3 linked regions of the Elephas maximus indicus genome follow. The protein of the gene in region 1 purifies or fractionates together with the protein of each later gene. This does not show direct contact. Links are inferred from orthologs where the notes say so. Each region holds a gene or a part of one and is shown on either strand. Other genes may lie near its edges. The genes, in order: STK40, TRIB1 and COP1.

Evidence for each region.
Region 2: the proteins of STK40 (region 1) and TRIB1 purify together in Homo sapiens (affinity purification with mass spectrometry; 3 studies listed by BioGRID and IntAct, counting the BioPlex papers as one, with this or other methods). This does not show direct contact. The link is inferred for Elephas maximus indicus from reciprocal best matches to the Homo sapiens genes STK40 and TRIB1.
Region 3: the proteins of STK40 (region 1) and COP1 purify together in Homo sapiens (affinity purification with mass spectrometry; 3 studies listed by BioGRID and IntAct, counting the BioPlex papers as one, with this or other methods). This does not show direct contact. The link is inferred for Elephas maximus indicus from reciprocal best matches to the Homo sapiens genes STK40 and COP1.

What each region holds. Positions count from the first base shown.
Region 1 is NC_064821.1:77,738,167-77,745,443, reverse strand, and holds the start of STK40 (serine/threonine-protein kinase 40), read left to right. Parts: upstream 1-4,176; 5' UTR 4,177-4,678; coding exon 4,679-4,685; intron 4,686-4,924; exon of another isoform or gene 4,925-5,104; intron 5,105-7,277. Other genes in the region: U7 snRNA-associated Sm-like protein LSm10, read left to right, coding at 1-7. UniProt on the Homo sapiens protein: May be a negative regulator of NF-kappa-B and p53-mediated gene transcription.
Region 2 is NC_064833.1:17,722,847-17,730,773, reverse strand, and holds the start of TRIB1 (tribbles homolog 1), read left to right. Parts: upstream 1-4,887; 5' UTR 4,888-5,700; coding exon 5,701-6,060; intron 6,061-7,927. UniProt on the Homo sapiens protein: Adapter protein involved in protein degradation by interacting with COP1 ubiquitin ligase. The COP1-binding motif is masked by autoinhibitory interactions with the protein kinase domain.
Region 3 is NC_064842.1:38,684,296-38,691,512, reverse strand, and holds the start of COP1 (E3 ubiquitin-protein ligase COP1), read left to right. Parts: upstream 1-4,182; 5' UTR 4,183-4,457; coding exon 4,458-4,864; intron 4,865-7,217. UniProt on the Homo sapiens protein: E3 ubiquitin-protein ligase that mediates ubiquitination and subsequent proteasomal degradation of target proteins.

The sequences.
Region 1 (7,277 bases):
TAAGTGAGGCTGCTCCCTCAGCACGTCCCACCCCCGACTCAGGTTCCGACTGAGTTCTACTGAGCCAACTCCCTGCCATTCCTCCCTGCCCTGAGCCTGAGGAGGGAGCAGGGCCAGCCCAGAGACCGGTGTTGGACAGACACCTCCTGTCACAGCTGCCTTTCACAGAGTTCTACCTCCCAGACTCAACCTGGAACCCAGAATCTAATTTATCTCTTTGTGGCCTTGGGATAAGTGACAAGCCCCTCTTTTGATCGTTTGCATCTGAATTCCTGATTTACTGATTTAGGTAGTCTGTCGAATAGTTTTCATTTCAACCCTCTGCCATGAGGATTATTAAATATACTCAGCCTGAGCCACCCATAACTGTCCCCTTTTCTCTTGCAGTTGTGTTCATATTCTCATAAGACCAAACTTGGATACAAATAAGTCCATGACTCATGCTTTCCCTGCTGAGTGTGGGGCTCCCTGCCTTTCCTGTGCAGTAGGACACTGGCTTTCAAACTAAGATGCGCATGGCATCACCTGGGGAGCTTTAAAAGAAACTGAGGCTTGGGTCCCACCCTCTGATTTTTTGATTTAGTTGGCTGGGGCATTGGGATGTTTTTAAAGTTCCCCCAGGTGATTCTAATATGCAGCAAAGTTTGAGAACTGTTGTAGGAGAGTACCTCAGTCTGGTCAGGTGGGAAGTGGCTGTTCGCTTCAGACCCCCTGTGGAGGAGGCTTTTGGTCTCATTTCTGTTTCCTGAGGTGGAGAGAGTGAAGTATCCTAAACCCTCACCTCAGATGTGGGGGCTCAGCCAACAGCAAGAAATTAGTCTCAGATTCTGAAGAGTCCTTGGTTCCTCGAGGAAGAGGGAGGGGGTTGTGGGGATAAGAACCCAAGTCTCTGTTGTAGCTATCTTGTAGACATTTCTGTGGAGTTATACTCTACAGTTATACTCTGACACACATGAGGTCACATGAGTCGGAGTTGACTCTTCAGCGACTAGTTGATTAGGTTAGTTAAGCCCTGTTTACCCAAATGCGGCACACAGCTGTTTCTTCCTGAGGGTCTTGTTACCTCCCTGGCGCTCCACCCAGGAAAAGGAGCACGGTTCCTCCTGCTCTCAGATCCCCTAGACCTAGCTGATGATGTCAGCTAGGAGCCTGAAGAGAAGTTCCTCCATTGTCAGAGACGCCGCCAAGTCTCAGTCGCCCAGATCCAGTGATACACAGTTTTCTAAATTTGTATCTCTGCACAGGGATTCTTTCCATTCCTCCCTGAAGGCTAGGCTTTTGGAATTCAGACGCTAAAAATTGACTCAGTTGTGTTGTGTCATTCCTTTCCTGAAGGCAGGAAAGCAGAATAGACTGCATAAGGAAAGGGCAGAGGGACACCAAAGAAAAGATGAAAGACATTATTTCAACATGTTATGCCCCCACTGGAGTTTGGATTTTGTGCCACTCATTGCCATGGCCTTTGTTCAAGCACACACATATCCCCCTTCCTGCGGCTTCAGCCAGTGTGTGGGTCACAGGAATTCTGAGTGCTCAGGTGGCGTGGAGGAGTTACCCCCACCTCCCCATATACCGCCTTGCCTGGAGAGAGACTACAGGGGTCTCATCTGGGGGAGGGAACTACCACAGCTCCGATGAAGTCCCAGTGGGTCTGCAGCTTGAAGTTCAGATTTCTCCAGAGGCATACAAGGGAACCAGCCACTCCAGCTGTCAGCCTGGAAGAGCTGGATGGAACTTGAGAGACCAGTTCAGTGGTTTCCAGTCTGGCATCCCCAGCTGTAGGGGTCCCCAAGGGCGGCAGGGGTCCCTTGAGTTGTCAGTATTCCAGAAAGACCTAGAAACAGCACCCAAGCTATGATCAAGCTGGCTTATCAGGCCATTTTGGGCTGGAATTATACCAACTTAGTGTGGTGATCAGAAACCCTGGTGGCATAGTGGTTAAGAGCTACAGCTGCTAACCAAAATGTCAGCAGTTAAAATCCACCAGGTGCTCCTTGGAAACCCTATGGGGCAGTTCTATTCGGCCTATAGAGTCGCTATGAATCAGAATTGACTCGACAGCAACAGGTTTTTTTGTTTTTTTTTTTAGTATGGTGGCCACACTGATTTCCTCTTACTGAGCACAAGATCTAATGGCTGTAACACAAGGCTGTCATAAACCAAAAGGAAGAAGTTACTTGATGTAGATTGTATAGGAGACAAAATCTTACCGAATATGAGATTCTCAAGGAGGGAAAATACTACAAGAGGCTTTGAAGGTGAGAAGGTCATCAGTCCACAAAGTTGACTGCCGGGTTGCTCCTCCCTGACTAAAACAGCTACTGCTGGTTGAATCTCACTATGAGCCAGGCCCTGTGCTAGGGGCCTTACATGCCTCACAAGGGCAGAGCTGCTGACTGTTTGGGTATTACTGGATCCCCAGGATCTAGCTCAATGCTCTGCACATAGCAGACACTCCGTAAATCTTTGTGGAATGAAAGAATAATCTCGTTTCATCATTATAACAACCCTGGAGGTGTGTATTAACAACAGTATTTTACAGATGAGCCAGCCGACAGGCTCAGAGATGAAGCAGCTTGCTCAAGGTCATAGAGCCAGTAAGCAGCAGGGTAAGGATTCAAACTGAGGTCTGCCTGATTCCAGACCCCATGATCTTAACTACTACACTATACTATTGTGCCTCCTAGCACTCTTGACATCACACTGATGACAGAGTAAGACAGGAGGTGCCTGCTCACCTCAGTGATGGTACCCAGCCACAGGGTATGGATCTGGCACTCAAAACTTATACCATATCCAGCCCCTGGGGTCTGGGCACAAAGAGGAGCCAGAGACCAGCCAGCAAGTAGGGCTTACTAGGGTTCAGAAGCCTGAGGAAGCCCCTGGAGGTTGAAGGTCTTCTGTGATAGGCAGATCTGCCTGTGCCTCATCAAGCAACCATCTTATGCTGTTGTGACAGGTGTCACTTTGTTATGGCAGCACCGTCTGCCAGTATGCCCAGAGCTGGAGAGCCAGCAGGAAAATATGTCACTGTGTGTGTCTGTGTGTGTGTGTGCATGTCTTAGCAGTCTCCCCATGTTGGTGTCCTGATGACAACTTTACATTTCCTCTGGCTGACGCCTTTACTTTCTATTCATTACCTCTTCTCCTCTCTTCCTCCGCCTCTCCTTTGTTAAAATCCTATATTTTGAATCAGCTGAGAGTCTCCTGGGAGTGGGGATGGTGGTGTCAACCCCGAGTGATTCATCTAGCTGATAATTACAGCTCTGGAAAACCCAGAACTGATTCCTGTCAGAGTCAGGGCTTCCGGAATCCCTAGGCTTTTCCCTTTGTCAGAGAGAGGAATATGATGGGCCGGGACATTGTTATGGCTGTCTTCTGGTCATTCACCTCATTTAAGTTCTGTAACTGAGACGAATGTGAACACTCAGCAGGTACCATGAGAAGCTGCTTCCATAGCTCATGGAATGCTTGCTTGGTCCCATGATGTGTTATCCCTATTTTGACAGGCTGGGAAGAATAGGGAATTTGCACAGTCACCCAGCTTGTAAGTGATGCAGCAAGGATGCACATCCAAGCTTTCTGGAATCTACCAGATTTAGTTCCAGTCATAGCCCTGCCATTATTAGCTGTGTGTCTTTGAACAGGTTACTTTCACTCCCTGAACTGTAGCTCCCTCTTCTATAAACAGACTCCTAATTCCCACCTGGAGATGCCTATGTCTCCAAAGTGCTTCACACAGCATCTGGCACAGCAGCAGGAGCTGTTTCGATTACGGTGTTATCCAGCTCGATCATCTCAGTGGGCACTAGGCATTCAGAGAGACAAATGCACAAAGGCAGAGGCCGCCAGACCTCCCTCACCCCAACTCTCATGTCCTGGCACTACCTGTGTGGCAATGGCAAATGCACATACACATAAGTGCCTGGCCACACGCCCTAGGAAAACTCGGCAGTGCACACAGGCTCAGACACATGTGCCCACACATGGACACAGAATGACCCCGGGGACAGCGAGAAACGCACCCAGGAGCTAGACAGTCATATGCAGCAGGCACCCTGGCTCACACCTCTGAGATAAAAGAGTGGGTCTATGGCCGCGAGTCCTGCTGCCACTGACCCCTTCTAGCTGCTTCTGCATGCCAGGGGAGGGAAGCCGGGCTCTCAGAGGGCCCCAGTGAGTCACCAGCCTGATGCAATCCTTTTAAAGGGCTCATCTGCTGCTGCAAGAAGCTGATTCATGGAGGGCGTGGTTGCTGGAGGAGGAGAAAGGGACCGAAACTGCAGCAGGAGGGACTGAGGTTAGATGACTAGAAGCGTAAATAGGAGCTTTTCATTGTAAACCTCCCTAGTCAAGTCTCCGGGGATCTCCAGGTCGAAGATACCCATTCTCTGGGTTTCTACAAAGGAGAGGGGGCCTAGAAGGGAATGAATTGTGAGGGTTGCGACTGGAATTCCTGTCATTTATTGAACCTAACTGCAGCGCTCTCCGCAGAGCTCCAGAAACCGGTAAAATGGGGATCAAAGAAGAGCCACTTTTCAGATAAATACACTACAATTGGCCATCTTCCAACTGCTCGAGACCTCTCCTACCCCGCCAGGGCGAGTGTAGGGCACACGAGGTTCGGTGGCGTCAGGGCGGGGTCCTTGCTTCCGTTCCCGCCTCACCGCCGGCATAGATGAGCGGTAAGTACCGCCCCTTTAGAGTCTCAGGCTCCAATCGTTTTACAAATTTAGGCCCAGACCCCAGGGTGAACCAATCAGCAATCTGATTCTGGCCTCTTGCCTGAAGGCTTCCGCCCGTCGTCAAGATGGTGGCCGTGGGTTTTTTGTAGACACAGGCAAGGGGGAGGGTTGGGGGCGGGGCTGTGGCTTGGGCCAGAAAGGAGGGTGGCGGTGCGTCACTTCCGTTGTCAGGTGGCGGCGCCGCAGCCATGGAGGGAGGCGGCGGCGGCGGCGGTGGCTGCTCGGGCGGCTGCGCTGGGAGGCGGCGGTGAGCGGCTCCCACGCCCCCGGCCCGGCCCCGGGCCCCCGGCACGGAGCGCCGAGCAGCCCCGGCTCCGGGCTAAGGACTATGGGCGAGCAGCGCTGAGCACCCGGGGAAGGTGAGGTCGGGGGTCGCGAGGTGGGTAGCAGGGAGGGGGTTGGCGGGGCGGGCCTCAGCCGCCGTGGCAAAGGGACCGAGCTGACAGTCCGGGGCTATCCAGATGCGACAGAAATGGCAACAGCGCACGCCTCCTCCTATGCTGGGGGATCTGCCCTTCTTAGGCGGCTGAGGGCAACGGGGGCGGAGGCTGCTGCGCGCCGGGCACGGGGCGGCCGCGGGGAGCCTAGGTCCTTGCCGCAGCCTTGGTAGGTGGGCACTGCCAGTCCTGTCCAGGGACACTCAGCCAGTAAGTGAAAAAACTGAGCCCAGCCAGATTTTTCCCACGAGACACCCCCTGTCTCACCATACTTCCCTTCTGATCCCGAGAGTGACTTGAAACTTAGAACGAATCCCCAGGGAGGGCTAGGGCTTTCTCCAGGAGCACAAGCACCATAGCTGCCGGGGAATTTTCGCATCCTAGGCAGCGTTCAGGTACCAGTCAGAGCTGCCTGCCTGCCAGTGCTACATTTGGCCAGCCTTTTCCAAGGAGAGAGTCTGCTGTGGTCAGTGTTTTTCACCTGCTGTACCCGGGCCGGGCCCGCCCATTCCCACGCCGCTTGGCCCCACCTTGCAGTCCTTAGGTAGGGGCATTCCGATCCCCGATGTCGCGTTCTCTGGGCACCCCCACTCCCCAGGTTTGATGCCTTTTGTTGGCGGAAGGAAGAGATGACAGCCGTCTTCTGTGGTAGGGTAGACCTTGCTCTGTTTTAAGTCATGGGAGGAAACCGGTTGGCTTTGCTTGGTTTTGAGAACCATGGGTAAGAGGGTAGTCACGCTGGGCTGGGCACCTTTCTGTGTTGGCTGAGTAGTTTTGCATGAGATAAGGAAGAGTATAATATGTGACGGACTCTAAGTCATGGTAAATGTAATTGTAGGTCCCAAGAACCTTGTTTGTAAACAGTACTTGTGAGTTCCTCCAGAGCTCCTTAAGGGCCCTGTGGGCCAGTTGTTTGTGGTTTATATCTGGACATTCTGAAAGAAGCCCTCATTCATTCATTCATTCATTCATTTCCCACATGACAACAGGTTACTAAAAGCAGGCTTTGGGGCCAGACTTCCTGAGTTCAAATTGTGGTTCAGCAACTTGGAAGCTGTGTGACCTTGGGCATATTGCTTAACCTCTCTGTGCTTCAGTTTCCCCATTTGTAAAATAGAGTGATAACGTAGAGCTATTATGAAGATGTAAAAAGTTAACACATAAAATACCTAGGACAGTGTCTGCCACATAATAAAAGTTCAAAAAATGTTAGCTTTTTTTTTTTTTAATTTTAGCTATTCTTACTTCAAGGGGCTCATGATCTAGTTAAGGGAGACTGACTTATAAACAAATAATTGAAACGTGTCACAAAAAGCTAGTAGCCGCAGGAGCAAAGGGCTGTGGGAGCCCAGTGAAGGAAACTGCTGGCACAACTTGGAAGGGGGTGAGGGTACTGGGAAGTCTTGGCAGAAGACATGATGCTGGAGCTGAGTCTGGAAGGATAGGAAGGTGTGGCCAGGTGAGAATGGAAGAGCAAGGTATTCTACTTGGAGAGAGAGATAGAAGTAAACTCACAGTTAATTCCAGAAATTTGCAATTGTTCACTGTGATGTATGGAAGTGGGCACAGCATAAGATGAGTCTAGATAGGTTGACACAGGAATGGCACATTAACGATTTGGGACTTTATGCCAAGGCAGTGAGGAGCCAGTGGAGGTTTTAAGCAGAGAATAGAAGTGATGGGAGCCGTGTTTAAGAAAGGTCTCCTTGGAGTCCCAGCAGAGGAGGGAAGGAAGGGGAGAGGTGAGACCAAAGCACTGGAGACCTCTGAGAGAGGTCACTGCAGGCCAATGAGAGGAGAGTTGGTGCTGGGGTGGTGGATCTTTGCTGGGGAAGCACCAATGCCAAGTGACAAGCTCCCTGCATTGGCCTGGGCTTCTCTGCCTGCACAAAGTGCCAGGTGCATGTCCCCTCACTTCCTGGGGTTGCAAGCAGGTGGGGAAGTGAGGCTGCTCTCTCAGGGACCTGGTGGTGGTCTGAGCCAGTATTGGGGGAAGGGGGCTGCATTTGTCTACTGTGCCTTTAATATGACCTTTTGGGAAGGCAGTAGGTCTTCGTGGTTAGGAGCTTATTTGACTCTGGAATCAGACAGATCT
Region 2 (7,927 bases), on another chromosome or scaffold:
GAAGGAAGGAAGGAAAGGAAGAAAGAATGGAAGGATAAAAAGGAAGGAAGAGAAAGAACAAACGAATGAATGAATGAACAAAAGAAAGGTTGAAAGAAAGAAAAATGAGGTCCATGGAGGAGAAGTGAGCTGCCTAATTCACACGGTGAGCTAATGGCAGGGCCAGGACTTGAACTCAGGTCTTTTGTCTCAAAGGCCTGTGCCCTTTCCACTGGCAATAAAACTAGTGCCTCACATGCATACAAAGCATCACAGTTGACAAAATGATTTTCACCCGTATGAGGCACCCCATGCTGCCTTCCATCCTCCAGCCCCCTCCCAGCCTACAGCGGATGTGGAGAAAGCAGGTGACTGGCCAGGTACCCAGTGGTTAGAGACCTAGCCAGTGGGAGTGAGGAGAGTTCCAACCCAAGCAGGGGAGAGGGCTGGTCTTTGTCCAGGTGCTAGAAGAGGAATTAAGGCAACAGCGAACCAGATGCCAATGGACAGGGAGAACTCACAGAATGAAAGCTGCAGCAGGTGACTTAGAAGAAGGTGAGGAGTGTCTCGCCATTTGACCCAAGGCAGGTATGGAGCTGTGCTTGTCACTGGACCCAGGGCACCCCAGATTCATCCCTGAGAAGCTTCCAGTTCGGCCACCCCAGCAAGTGCGTGCAAGCACAGGATGGGCCACCAATGAAGACAGGTAATAGATCATCCACGGCCCTGCCAAGGCCACCTCCTCTGTGATGTCTTCCCTGATCCTTCCTTCCTCCCCCTGCCGCGTTATCCTCTCCCTTTTCTAGGCATTGGATTCTAATTGCGTGTCTACCTTTCTGTTAATTCTGCCTGCCCCTCTGTGGCTCCTTCCTTGAAGGGCATGGACTGTGCTGATTACAGATCAGGTCAAGAGGAGCAGTGGGCATGTAAGGAGGTGGGACAGAGGGTCTAGATAATGTGCCCAGGAATTTTTCATGGGAGTTCAGTAGCTCCCTTAGACCTGGGCCATTCAGGGCCTTACCCTGGCCCTCCTTCTGGCCACATCTACCCCCTTGGAGTGGGGAGTATGCAGGGGGAAGAAGGCTTGCCTTCCTAGACTGCACCTGCCCTTCTAGAACAAATCCTAGGTACCCAGGACCCCAGAATTCCCTATCCCAAAGGCCTGGAACCTGTTTCCTGAGCTCAGGGGGTCTCTTTCCCGGGTCCATCTTTCCAAGGTGACCTGCTGTCACTGCTATGTGCACTTCTAGGCCTGTGGGTGGTCAAGGAAGGGCCCAGGTACAGTGACTGTCGGGGGTGTGGATGGAGTTGGGATATGTTAGCTGGGATGTCCAAGGCTATGCCCTGGAGGCCCTTCATGGGGAGGACGGGGAAGAGAAGAGGAGTCACGTCTCCACAAATGTTAGGGGAAGACCTCTGGGAATCTAAGGCTTCCTGTGCTCTTAAAAGACTTATTTTTTGGATAGAATTTCTCTTTATTGGAAGACCTGTTGTTATGTGCCATTGAGTTGATTTTGACTCATAGTGGCCCTATATGACAGAGTAGAACTGCCTTATAGGGTTTCCCCGTCTGTAATCTTTATGGGAGCAGATCACCAGCTCTTTCCTCTTGTGGAGCAGCTGGTGGGTTTGAACCACCAACCTTTCGGTTAGCAGCCAAGCTCTTAGCCATCGTGCCATCACGGCTCCTTACTGGGAGATTAGGATAGTGCATAAAGTAGGAAGAGCGAAGTTTGGAGCCAGCCCGACCAGGGTTCCCATTCTAACTGCCACGTTCTAGCTGTGTGAACTTAGACAAGCTAATCAACTTCTCTGAGCCAGTTTGGGCATCTGTACAAATGGTGGCAATAATAACTATTTTGTGAAATTTTATTGAACATTAAACAAGAGAATATGAAAGGGTCTAGCATATGGTACTGAGCCCTGGCAGCACAGTGGTTAAGAGCTCAGCTACGAACCAAAAGGTTGGCAGTTTGAATCACCAGCAGCTCCTTCAAACACTACGGGGCAGTTCTACTCTGTCCTATAGGGTCGCTATGAGTGGGAACCGACTCCATGGCAATGGGTTTGTTTTGTTTTGTTTTGTTTTTGGTTTAGCTTATGGTAGGAGTCCGTGAGTGACATAAATGCTTAGTGCGCTCGCTGCTAACTGAAAGATTTGCCAGTCGAGTCCACCCAGAGGTACCTCGGAGGCCTGGTGAGCCTCTGCCGAAAGAACAGCCACTGAAAACTCTGTGGCCCACAGGAACGCACAGGGGCTGCTGGGCGTCAGAGTCGGCTCTACAGCAACAGGCTTGGTTCTGGTTTAGCAGATGGCGGGAAATCAACAAATGTTTCTTTCCTAACTTTCAAAATCATCTTAAATACCCATATTGTCTTGGCTAGATATGTTTCCCTTTTTTTTTTTCTTTCTTTTTTTTGGTCATTTGTTTAGAATTTAGGGTCAAGGAACAAAATGTACTTGGCGCACAGTACTCATTATGTGTGGCTGCAAAACCTTGTGTTCTTTGAAGCAGAGAAATGGAAACCTGTGAACCCTGGAAGCTATGAGAAAGTTCCCTGAGTTTAGAATGTGTAAAATGCTTACAGCCTTCCTAATCTTGCTGCCATGCACCTACCTGGCACGTGGGGAAAATGAATTAAGCCCATGCTCATCGGTAGCCCCACCTTGTCCAGAAAAATCACTACAAGTTTCCCCACATTACACAATATATGAGTTCCTGAAAAGGCAGACGCAAATCAGTCTTTCTCCCCAGTTCACCATGTATTGAGCATCCAGTGCCAGCTTGGCATTGTGCTGGGCTCTGTAAGATACACTTACGCACAAATGCACACGCGTGTACACGCACAGACTTGATTTTGGCTTTCAAAGATCCTACAGTCCTACCGGATGCAAACAGTTAATGTGCTGGGCTGCTAACTGAAAAGTTGGTGGTTGGAGTCCACCCGGAGGTGCCTTGGAAGAAAGGCCTGGCAAATCTTTTTTCTGAAAAATCAGGCATTGAAAACCGTGTGGTACAGTTTCACTCTGACACGCATGGGGTGGCCATCAATAGCCATAGTCTCCAAGGTAACTGGTAAGGGTCTTACCAAGTTCTGCTGTAAAGGTACCAAAAGAGCACCTAAGGGAATCATGTGATCAAAAAAAAAAAAAAAAACCACCCCAAACCCTGTTGCCAGCAAGTCCATTCCCAACTGCCACACAGGGTTTCCAAGGCTGAAATCTTTACCGAAGTGGACTGCCATATCTTTTCCCCAGTGGAGTGGCTAGTAGGTTCCAACCGCCAACGTTTCGGTTAGTAGTGGAGTGCTTAACCACTGCACCACCAGGGCTCCTTTTAAACTAGTGGGCAGCTAACAACAAAACTTACTAGCTATTTGTCCAGTCCAGGTTACTTAATCTTTCTAAGCTTCAGTGTCTGCTAACCCAAAGGTCGCAGGGCCTCCATGGGAGAAAAGAGCTGGCCATCTGTTTCCGTAAAGATTACAGCCTAGGAAACCCTATGGGGCAGCTCTACTCTGTCACACTGGGTCGCTATGAGCCTAAGGGTTGTTGTTAAGAATGAAGTAATACATGTAAAAGTGTTTGGAGCAGAGCCTGGCACGTAGTAGGCCTCAACTGACATTAAATATTATTACTTGGATTTTCATCTTCTAATCTCCAGTGTCCAGCTTAATTAGTGATTGCTGAATGAAGGGAGGATTAATATAGAAAGGAATTTATCCTTGGTGCTTGACCTGGTTTTAGAAAATTAAGTAGTTAGCAGCAGAAGTGCAAGGGCTCTATGATAATAGTTATCTATGCTGAGCGTCCAGGGACTGCAAACTGACCTGGTTCTCTTAAAGAAAAACGACAAATTCCAAGCTTTTTTCCTGGACTTTTGTGCAGGCTCTGGCACATATCTGGTGCACGATGAAATCACTTTGCACGGATGCACCCACACGGCCTGGCAGGGTTGCCCCCGTGCAGACAACATCGCGGCGGTGGTCAGAATGATTCCTACTCCGTACCCACCCACCCCAGGGCCGGGGCTGGTACGGGGGCCCCAGACCCTGTGGCGCGTGGGGAGGCCGAGGAAGGGGCAGGGATCCGGCAGCGGCCACGTGGGCCCCTTCCGCCAGCTCCCCACATCCTTTGTTTCCCACCGGCCCTGGCTCAGGAAGCTCTTTCAGCGAGTCACCGCGAAGGGGCGGCCCGGGAGCCGGGAGAAGCTATTTCCGTGCAATCCCGGCGGGCGGCAGGAGCGGGAGGGGCGTGGAGGTGGAGGCAGCGCAGAAGGCCCTGTGTTTGCTTTTATTTCATCCAACAGAAGGTTCTATTTGTGGAAGCGAACAGACGCTGGGGATTAGAGATGGGAGGGGGCAGGAAAAGGGGGAAAAAAAAAAAGCCACATCTACTACCACGCACAGGTCTTCCCCGGAACTACCGCGTGGGGGTGAATGACTGATTCTGGAATTTAACACCTTCCCCAGCCCGCCCCTTCCTCGGGCTGCAGCCGGGCGTCGGCGGCGCCTACGGCTCCAAGCGGAGCTCCCGAGGCGCTGGGCGGTGGGGGTATCCCCGGGGCTAAAGGCGTAACCACTGGGCTGCAACAGCCGCGGGTGCAGAGAACCGTGGTGCGCGCGCCCTTCCGCCGGGCTCGGGGACTCGCGCGCCCGCCTTGCTCCGCAGCCCATTGTGCTCGGTGTGAATGGGGCGCGCGCACCAATCCGCGGCCGCCTCACCCCCTGCGCCCCGCCCCTCCCGCCCACTTCCCGGGACCCTGACGTCACAGGGACGTTTCCTTGGCCCCCTCCTCCGGCTTCTAGTGCGGAGCCGGCCCCCTGCCGAGTGCGCGCGCCGCCTCCAGGCCAGCCCAGCCCAGCCCCGGGGGCGTGTGCGCGCGCCCAAGCCGGGCCGGACGCACCACCTGCGCCCGAGCACGCTGCCCAGAGCATCCCCTGTCCCGGGCTCCCCCCATCCCCCGCGCCGGCCCAGCTCCACCTCCTATGCTCCCCCCTCCGCTCCGGTGATTGCTAGCCGGGCGGCAGGGTCGGAGTCGTCGCTGCCACCTCATTGCACAACCCGGCTTCCCAACTGTTTACACAGCCCGGTCTGTGAGTGTGTGTGTATACAGCGTGAGTCACCGGGAGGCGGAGGAGGTGGAGGAAAAGAAGGAGGCGTGCACTGGCCGGGATCGGTGCGGCGACACACTCACTCACACTCAGTCACTCTCTCCGAGCGCGTCTCGCTAGCTCACACGCCAGGAGCCCAGGAGCGCACAGGATCCGGAGCCCCGCGGAAAAGTTGCTCCAGCTTGGCTCCGAGACTTTTTGCTTTGGGAAGTACATTGGATCCGAGGCTTATCGGATCCCGCGGAATCCTGTACCTCGCGGCTCGGGACCCAGGGAACGCCAGCCACCGCCTCTGTCTCCCGGACTGTTCGCAGCCGCGGCAATAATAACGGCGGCCGTCCCCGGCCAGGCGCCCGGAGCCGGTGCCCGTGGGGATCCGGGGAACCGAACCGGCCTTCACCCCCTGGACGCGCGGCCAGCGTGGTCTCCGCGTGCACCGCGAGCTCCAGGGAGGGACTTCTGCTCTAATCCCCGTGAGGGCAGAGCCAAGCCCGGGCTGTATACTCTGTCCCGCGAGCTGGAAGAAGTCGCGGCGCCGAGCCCGCAGCGCCTTCCCGCGCGGGTCGCCGGACGCACAAAGCCGGCGCCGCCTCGGCCCGGGACGGGATGCGGGCCGGCCCCGTGCGCTCGGCCATGAGCGGCGCCGCGCAGTCCCGCAGCCCGGTCCTACTTCTCCCGGGCGCCCGGGGCACCCCGGCCAAGCGCCTGCTGGATGCAGACGACGCGGCAGCCGTGGCGGCCAAGTGCCCGCGCCTCTCCGAGTGCTCGAATCCCCCCGACTACCTCAGCCCTCCCGGCTCGCCCTGCAGCCCGCAGCCCCCGCCTGCCGTGCCGGGCGCCGGCGGCAGCTCTGGGAGCGCGCCGGGGCCCAGCCGCATCGCTGACTACCTGCTGCTGCCCCTGGCCGAGCGCGAGCATGTGTCGCGGGCGCTGTGTATCCACACCGGCCGAGAGCTGCGCTGCAAGGTAGGCGCCTGGGGACCAGGATCCAGCGGGGGGCTGGGGGGCGTGGAGGCGGGCAGAGGGGCTTGGGACGCCGCAGGTACTACCAAGGCTTGGGGCAGGGCGAATAAGTGGGTCAAGTGCGGTAAGGCGGTATGTGACTGGGTCATCCTTTTGGGAGAAAGAGGGGTCGTGGTATAAGGGGGGCTCGGCGGCGAAAAGTGCAGCCCTCAATTGTTTTATCGCTATATTCCTTTCCTTGGCGCCCAGCTCAGCGCGTGGCGTTCCATATAAGTTGTGGAATTGAAATGAATTCCAGGGCCATGCCATTCCCCTTCCCTCATTCTCCTGCTCCCCCCCCCCCCCGCCTCCTTGTCCTGGAAAGAGGCCTGCCTTGGGTGCCTCCTCGGAGCTTGAAGCAGCTGGCAACTCCCGGGCCGGGATTTCTAGGCGCCCGGGCTCAGCTGCGGGTGGTAAAGGGTGGAAAGACTGTGTTGGGCTCCCGTCTGGGGGATTCTGGCTTGACCCGCGCTGGGACGAGAACGCCGCCAAGACCGTCCCCGCACTCCCGGGACCTTCTAGCTGGGGCGGGGGGCGAGGGGGCGGGGAGGGACCTTCCCAGAGTAGGACTGTTGGAAACGCTACACCGGCGAGGAACCCTCACTTTTATTCACTTATTTATATCCCGGCCAGCGATCTGCATTTGAACATTAGGGATCCCCATCCCGCAGCAGGAGATACAACTCTTAGAGACAGGGTCCGCGAGATACCACTCTTAGGGACAGGGTCCGCGCTTCCTCCACCAGAGCTCATGGACGCAGGGCATTTCTGCCGCCCACCCTTTGCGATCCTGGCACTCCCCACCCCCCAAGCAGTCCTGAGAGCCTTCACCCGAAAGAGGGGGTCACCCCAAGTTAAAGTCGCTCCGGGTTTTCTGCAATTCACCTGACTCTCCCAGTCCCTGGGCTTGCTGCTGCCACCTACTGTCCGAGGGGAATGAAATTTCAAATGCACGGTCAAGTCCAGTTTAAAAGGGAAAAAAGTCTTATTTTCTGTGTAGCTGAGGCTCAGAGCTGTTTTGGGAAAAGTATGTGTGTGTTTGGGTCTGGGGTGGGGCGAGAGGAGGGGGCGTCGGAGGGATTTTTCTGGCTGGTGCCAGAGCAGCCAGCCCTCAGAGGTGGGGTGGGTCTAGCCATTGTGCAACTCCTTCCAGTTCCTCTGAGCAGATAATAGCTGAATCCAGATGGTGACAACCCGTGTGTCACCGTTTCCAGTAGAGTCTAGGATATGAGTAACCGAACCAAACAAAAGGGCCTTAAAGAGTCCAGCCAGCTTCTTAGAGGAGATACTACCCATTTCCTGTGGGGTGGGGGTTGGGTGGGGAATAAACAAAGGAAAAAAAAGAAATGTTCACAGGATCCCATGCCCCTGCTGTGAGACTCTAACTCAGGGAGGCTTATACCTGAGTCAGACTGCTGACCTTGGTGTCACAGGCTCCCTCTTGCTCCAGCTCATCCCTTCCTCCTGACTGATGACAGAGCTGCCTGTTCTCTGGCCCCTGCCTCCCTGAGGAGGCTGCAGCGTCAGTCACCATGTGTGCCCTTTTTGTGAGCACTTTGGGTCTGCAGGAGGACATGCATTTCCAGAGGCTGATTTCTGTTTCTGGGGACCCCAGGAGGTGCCTTCTATCAGCCACTTTGCAGCCTTGCCTGCAAACAAGGAAGGGCCACAGAGTGTGGGGGCTTTGGGGCTTGCTCTCAGGAGCTGGTGGAAGAGAAACATGTAGATATAGACAGTTCAATCAAACCATCCCTATGAAGGGGGTGACTCTTAAGATGTTTGCTATCCCAGAGTCCTAGGTGTTACCAGTTTTAATGATGTTAGGGGCAAC
Region 3 (7,217 bases), on another chromosome or scaffold:
CAGTAGATTGTGGATTATTTTCTGCTAGACACATTTATATTGTTGGGTTCACAGAAACTTTTCTATTCCTTTCCTGTCCATTCACACTCACAGAAAATGTTTTCTTTTCTCACCAGTTTTTCCATGTCGTGTTTAGTTTATTTCACATCACTAATTTGCTTTAATGGATCAAGCACATTATTATTTTTTTTTTTTAAGAAGAAGCTATTATTCAAAGACTTAGTTATACAGCAAACCCTACAGGTGAGTCAGGCAGACAAAGCTTATTGGGGGGATTGTTTGGTTGGGGTGACAGCCAAAGGGCAGGGCTAGATGGAGGTGGAAAACAGTGACCTTATCTCCCTAAAATATCATACTTGCATAAGGCACCTCAGAAATAGGTCTGGGAAGCTCAATCCTCTTGGTAATTATATTCCACTTTAACTCCATTAGATTTTACTTCAGTATAAGTGTTTTTGCTAGAAGACTTTGGATTTTGTTTTCATTGCTATTTTTGTGGTTCATGGGATAAAATTCCTTTGACTATTCAGACTTAGCTTTTATTATGCACTTACTTTCATCTTTTATTAATTTTTTTCTTTTTTCCTATTCTCTACTTCATAGCAACGACTGTGAGGATGGTGCAGGACCAGGCAGTGTTTCCTTCTGTTGTACATGAGGACACTATGAGTCAGAGCTGACTCGACGGCACCGGCCAACAATTTATTTCTCTTCTCATATTTTGAGTTGCCTGACTTCCTTCTTTGTGTATGTTTTGTCATGCTTCCTCTTCTGTTTTCCCAGAAGATCTTGCCAGTAGAAACTAGGAAGGCCTGTGTATTCTCAGAACACAGTCTTTATACATTTATCTGGTAAAAAAAAGGAAATGCCACTGTATCACATCCCATTTCCTTTTGTGAATTTACTGAAAATAGGTTCCCAAGAGGTAATACCAAGCACTGAAGATTTTTTCCTGGGAGACTTCTCAGTTGGGGCCATATTACTTTTAGGCACCTAAGCTACCTGGATAGAAGACTACTTCACATTATTTCTCTTATACCTCCCACAGAATAAAGCACAATGTTTCTCAGAGTTGGTCACTCACGTCAGATTCACCTGAGTGCTGGTAAAAGTCCATATTCTTAGGCCCTTACAATGAGTCAGAATTGACTCGATGGCAAAGGGTATTTCAGGCCTATTAATCAGAATCTTTTTGGGGTGGAACTTAGAAATCCACAGTTTTTAACAAACTCTCTACATGATTCTTTTTTGCAGCATAGTTTAAGACTCATGGGTGTAGTAACATGCACAGCAAGTGACAGGCCCTTAATAACTCTTTGATTATAGATATATTATCCCCTTACTAATTTCCAAATTTCTCAAGTGCTGAAATTTCTCTTTGGCCCAGCCCTGCATTTTTAATCATTGCCCGGATATGCTTAGTAAATGTTTTTTCCACCCTCATTCAACATACCCAAAACTAAACCATCTGCCAGATGTCTCGAATTCTGTCATCATGCTATGGTTATCCCAAGAGTCATCTCTGGAGTCATTCCTTACTCTTTGTGCTCCATCTTTTTTACTTAATCAACATACTATGCATGTGGGAAAGACAGTGATGAACATGACAGACATAGGTCATGTCCTCAAGGAGCTTAAAGATTCTTTTGCAGAGAGTAATTTATTCCTAAATTCTTTAGTGTTTTTCTCAGATACTCCCTTGCTTTCCTTGCCACCACCCTCATCTAGAATCTCATCACTTAGGCTCAGACTGATAATGTTTTCTTAGTCTGTTTGCTCTGAATCTTTCAGCTCTTCTGAAAGATTAATCTTCTGAAAGCTTATTCTTTAACACTTTGAATATATTCCCTACGCTTACCCTGCCGGATACCTTCACTGTTTCCAATTGCCTTATAGGATATGCCCAAAACTGGATTTCAACCTTTTTACAATCTTGTTCCCAAATGAAGTTCTCCCAAATAAACTCTTCTACCCCTATGAAATAGATAACTGAACTTGATGTAAGCATTTTTACTGATTATTTTCTGGGTTCATGACTTCAATTATACTTTCTGCTTGATCAAACCATACTTTTCTCTTAAAGCCTAATTCCTTCCCTCATCAACATGGCTGGTCTTCAGTACTTGCTCTTGCTTCAGCTCCTATTGGATTTTTATCCATTATGCATTAAGCATGTGTTCCTTGGCATCATCATCTAGCTTTTTAAAATCCATTTCTGTAAGTCCTCAATTATTCCATAAGCTTGTTTTATAGACTTCTCTATCTCTTCCTGAGGAGCCCTGGTAGCTCAGTGGTTAAGCACTTGGCTGCTAATTGAAAGGTCAGGGAGAAAGATGTGGCAGTCTGCTTCCATAAAGATTTACAGCCTTAGAAACCCTATGGGCCAGTTCTACTCTGTCCTATAGGGTTGCTATGAGTCAAAATCTACTCCATGGCAACAGGTGTGGTTTTGTCTCTTCCTTGGTTAGCCCATGCCTTCCCGTACTAAGCATTCAATGAATTTTCATCAAATTATGTTCATCTATTTATGCTTTCCTTCACCAAACACCGAATGCCTCAAACAGACCAATATGGCCTTGTTTTCACGAAACTTAACAATTTAGTTAGACAGACAAACATTTAAGAAATAATTAAAATAAAAATGAGATCATTGGCTTTATTCATTTATTAGTCAACAAACAATAAGCACCAGGCATGGTGTAACATGTTGGAAATACAAAGAAAGTTGTGGTTGACAGGCTAGTGGAGAATAACACATAAACAATTAAAATACAATTATATAAGTACAAACAATCATAGGAGCACAAAAGACGGCTCAACTATCTCTGCTAAGGATAGAGTCAGGGAAGGCTTCACATTTCAGCTGTGTCTAGAAAATAGTTTGAAACAAGAGTTGGATGAGGCAATGTTCTTGCAAGGAGGTTCTTGGAAATCTGATAAATCCATTCCTATACCATCATTCTAAGCAGAAACTTGAGGTAAACCCAAGGTGGGAATACCAAGGTGAACAGCTAAGGCAGAGTGAAGAGGGTGGCAACCTTATGAAAGTTCACTGCCCAGCTGGGTGGCTAAATCCGAGTTTCTGGGCCTTCACTCAAGCCCCTCTGTGACCTAGCCCCCTTACATACATTGATGTCCTTCAGAAAAGTTCCTTGCTTTCCCTATAGGCTTCTTCAACACTCAGGACAAAACTAAATCAGATCCTTTCCTCTAAGAATCACAGAATGATGGAGACGGAAAAGATACTGAAAATCACCCAGTTCAGCTGTTTCTAACTTACATACATCCCCAAGAACCTTAGGGATTCTCAAAGTGGTAAACGAAACTCTGTAGGCAATTTTCAATATTCCAAAAGGTTTAACAGAAATTGCATATTTTCCGGTGGTATCGAATATTGTGTTTCCTTGTTTTGTGATAGAATGATATCAATTCCACATTAAACTGAGGTTTGACTGACCTGTCTTCCGATTGAGTATAATCTGTTTTCCTATTATGTCACACCCAACTTAGTAAACAACGTTTAAAATAAGCTCATGGTCAAACTGGTAAAACTTGCTACACTCTTCACTGACTTCACCTTTATTTAATTCTCACAACACTGTAGAATGGCTCAATAACAGCAGAGCCTGGAAACCTTGACTCTCAGTCCAGGGTTCTTTCGAACTGCGCGGTGCTTCCAGGTTCCTTCCGTTTGTCCCCAGTCTACAGCACCTTCAATCCCTGATCGAGAAGCACCTGTCGTGCTCTTGCTATTGGGTCACCCATCCGCCTCTCAGGAGACAGGGATCGCTCCCTCTTCACACTCAGGAACGCGGTTCGCTCCCACGCATGCGTATATCACGCTCTTCCTCGCCTGGAACGGAGACCCTAGCTAGCTCGCGAGGGTGGGCGCCCAGGGCGCGCGTATGCAGTCGTTTTGTGAGCGGCTCTCTTCTCCTGCCCCCGCTCCCCGTCCACCAAACCACCAATCCTACCGTTCATTTTACTCTCCTCCGCCCTTTCACTCCATTAAGACTGCCTACCCTTCCGTACGTCACCAGCGAAAACAGCTCCCGCCCAGGGCTCCTCTGGTTGCTAAGCCGCCGCCGTCGCCGTTCGTGCACGAGCACCGCCCGGGCGGCGTAGAAAGTTGTATCCCCCGCCGCTCCCGCCCCTTCCGCCGCTCGCGCGCGCGCGCGCGCGCACGACCTGCCCACGGCGCGCAGGGGTTGGCGGCGGCGGCGGCCTCGAGAGCGGTAGTGGTTTCTACTCCCCTTTATTAGTTTCCTCCGCCCCCTCCCGTCGGACACCGTTGTGTGGATGCCTTAAGAAAAAAATCAACTTTATTGTTCCTCAGCCCCACCTCCCGGCGCGGCGCGCGTCCTCGGGATGCACTGAGACTGAGGGAGGGGAGGCGGCGGTGGGTCGTGTCTGGGTCCCTCTCCTCCGAGCGCCGTGCCGGGGGGGAGGGAGTCACGATGTCAGGTAGCCGCCCGGCCGGATCGGGCTCCGCTGGGACGAGCCCTGGCTCCTCGGCGGCCTCCTCGGTGACTTCCGCCTCCTCGTCCTTATCCTCTTCCCCGTCGCCCCCTTCCGTGGCGGCTTCGGCGGCGGCGCTGGTGTCCGGCGGAGCGGCCCAGGCCGCGGGCTCGGGCGGCCTCGGGGGCCCGGTGCGGCCTGTGCTGGTGGCGGCCGCGGCGTCGGGCAGCGGCGGCGGGGCGGTGTCCGTGGGCCCGTCCCGGCTCAGCTGCGCGGCCAGGCCCAGCCCCGGCGTAGGTGGGAGCAGCTCCAGCCTAGGCAGCGGCAGCAGGAAGCGACCTCTGCCCACCCCGCTCTGCAACGGGCTCATCAACTCCTATGAAGACAAAAGCAACGACTTCGTCTGGTAGGTTTGAATAACACCCCGCACCCCTTGCCCCCTGTGTGTTACGAGTTCCTGCTGGTTAGGCTGGTGGGGTCCAGTGTGAGGGTGGCCTGTGTAAGAGCTTGGATACTGGTTTTGTTCTGAAGTCAGCGTTTCCGAGATTCGAACTTGTAGCGGTGGTGGGGGTGGGGGGGTGGTAAGGACGGAGGGGAGGAGTGAGGAGATGTTGAAGTCCCAAGGCAGGTTGGGGGTAGTGAAGAGGTGAGCAGTGGTGGGGAGGAAGTGAGAGGAATTTAAGGCATAATAAATAGGATGGGGAGATGGAGCATCGAATAATGTTGTGGATAAAGAAGAAAGTTGGGTAAGAAGGTTGGGCCTTGCATTTTCTGGCTGTCTGGCGTTTTAGGCACCCAAAAATCAATCCGATTACTTGTTGAGGTGAATTAAATTTGTGAAGAGGGTGAAGCTTCCTGGGATGCTGAGGGATGGCGTTGCTGGTCAGGATTTGCTTACTGGCGGTATGGTGCATGGTGCTGTAAACACGGGTAAGGATGTTTTAAGGGGAAGTAGTATTTAAGTATCAGTTGTGTGTGTACATGTGTATTTAAATATATCTCGTCTCACATTTCAAAGTGTAGGCCACTTTTATATCTGCTGTAGTCAAAGTCTATTCACAAAATATTCAATTTCTCAATCGAATATCTTCAAGAGGGAACCACATTTAGTAAACATCATCGGTGTGTTAATTACAGTTGTATTACACTCGTATAACGCATTAGAGTATACTGGAGCTTCTGATTTGAGAAACGCTAGGTATTAGAGATTTTGCCATCATAGTTGGCATCTTGAATGACACAGTACTATTCAGTCATGAGATTTGGCATAGACGGGCTAGCCATATGAAGTTGACTTGCTGAAAGTGTTTTGGGATTTTTATTGGGTTTTGGATATTATTGGTTGGATTATGAGAAAGGAATTAGCTGAGTAGAAACTGGTGGGGTTTTGTGCTTTTCTTTTGGAGGAAATTGATAGATTTCCTTAAGAGATTATGTTGTAGAAAGTTGGCTTGCACTAACATTATGGGGATGATCTGGGTTGGTGTCATTAAGTATGATAGGGGAATAAGTTGGAACTGCTAGGGAAGCTGTTGATTAGATATACAGTTTATGACTCTTGCAGAAAAATAATACTGTCTTTATTCATATTTCTGCTTTTCTTTTAAATTATTTTGGATTCAGAATTATTTCATTTTTCGTTGAACCTGGGCTATAATTGTGAATGATAGTTATGAATAATTTTAGCAGTTTATGATTGGATCTAAGAGGTGTTTGCCTTCATACTCAGTAGAGAGGAGCCTTGGTGGCATAATGGTTAAGAGCTCGGCTGCTAACCAAAAGGCTGGCAGTTTGAATCCATCACCTGCTCCTTTGGAAACCCTGTGGGGCAGTTCTACTCTGTCTTGTACGGTTGCTATGAGTCGGAATCGACTTGACGGAAGTGGGTTTTTTTTTATTTTGTTTTTAGAGAGTGCCACGTGGTAAGGTAGAAGCTAGTAAAATAAAGTGGAGGGTTTGCAGAATTTAGTCTTTTTGCTACCATTTCAATTTTCAGTAGACTGAAAAGAAAACAAACGCATCAGCATCCATATAAAAAACCAAACCCAACCCCATTGCCGTTGAGTTGATTTTGGCTCATTGCAACCCTGTAGGACAGTAGAACTGTCCCATGAGGCTTCCAAGGATTGGCTGCTGTATTCAAACTGCCGACCTTTTGATTAGCAGCTGAGCGCTTAACCATTGTGCCACCAGAGCTTCCAGCATCCATATAAAAAAAAAAAATAGGTATACTAAAACAGGGTAAAAGATGTGAGAGGTAAGGGAATTATTCATTCATTTAACAAATACTTACTTAATACTCACTGTCTGCCAGGCACCATGTGAGTTTCAGTGTGCTATAGGCTATTTTATAGGGAATTGGAGAGGGTGGGGAGCACTGGTTGCTCAGTGGTTAAGCTCTTGGTGCTAACCAGTGGTTTGAACCTACCAGCTGCTCTGCGGGAGAAAGATGTAGCAGTCTGCTCCTGTAAAGATTTACAGCCTTGGAAACCCTGTTGGGCAGTTTACCTCTGTCCTGTAGGGTCACCTTGAGTTGGAATCAACTTGACGGCAGTGGGTTTGGTTTGGGTTTGGAAAGGGTAGAAACAGTTTAAGCAGCTGGCACTTTTTTTTTTTTTTGAAACAAGATTATTAAAATTTTTATTAGCCCATCACCTAATTTAAAAATTTCAGTCTAGTCTCTTGAGTTCTAATCATGCTGCTTAAATTATTCTGTTTTCGTTTATACTGTAGTGTGGAAGTGTCCACTGAGAGTTTTC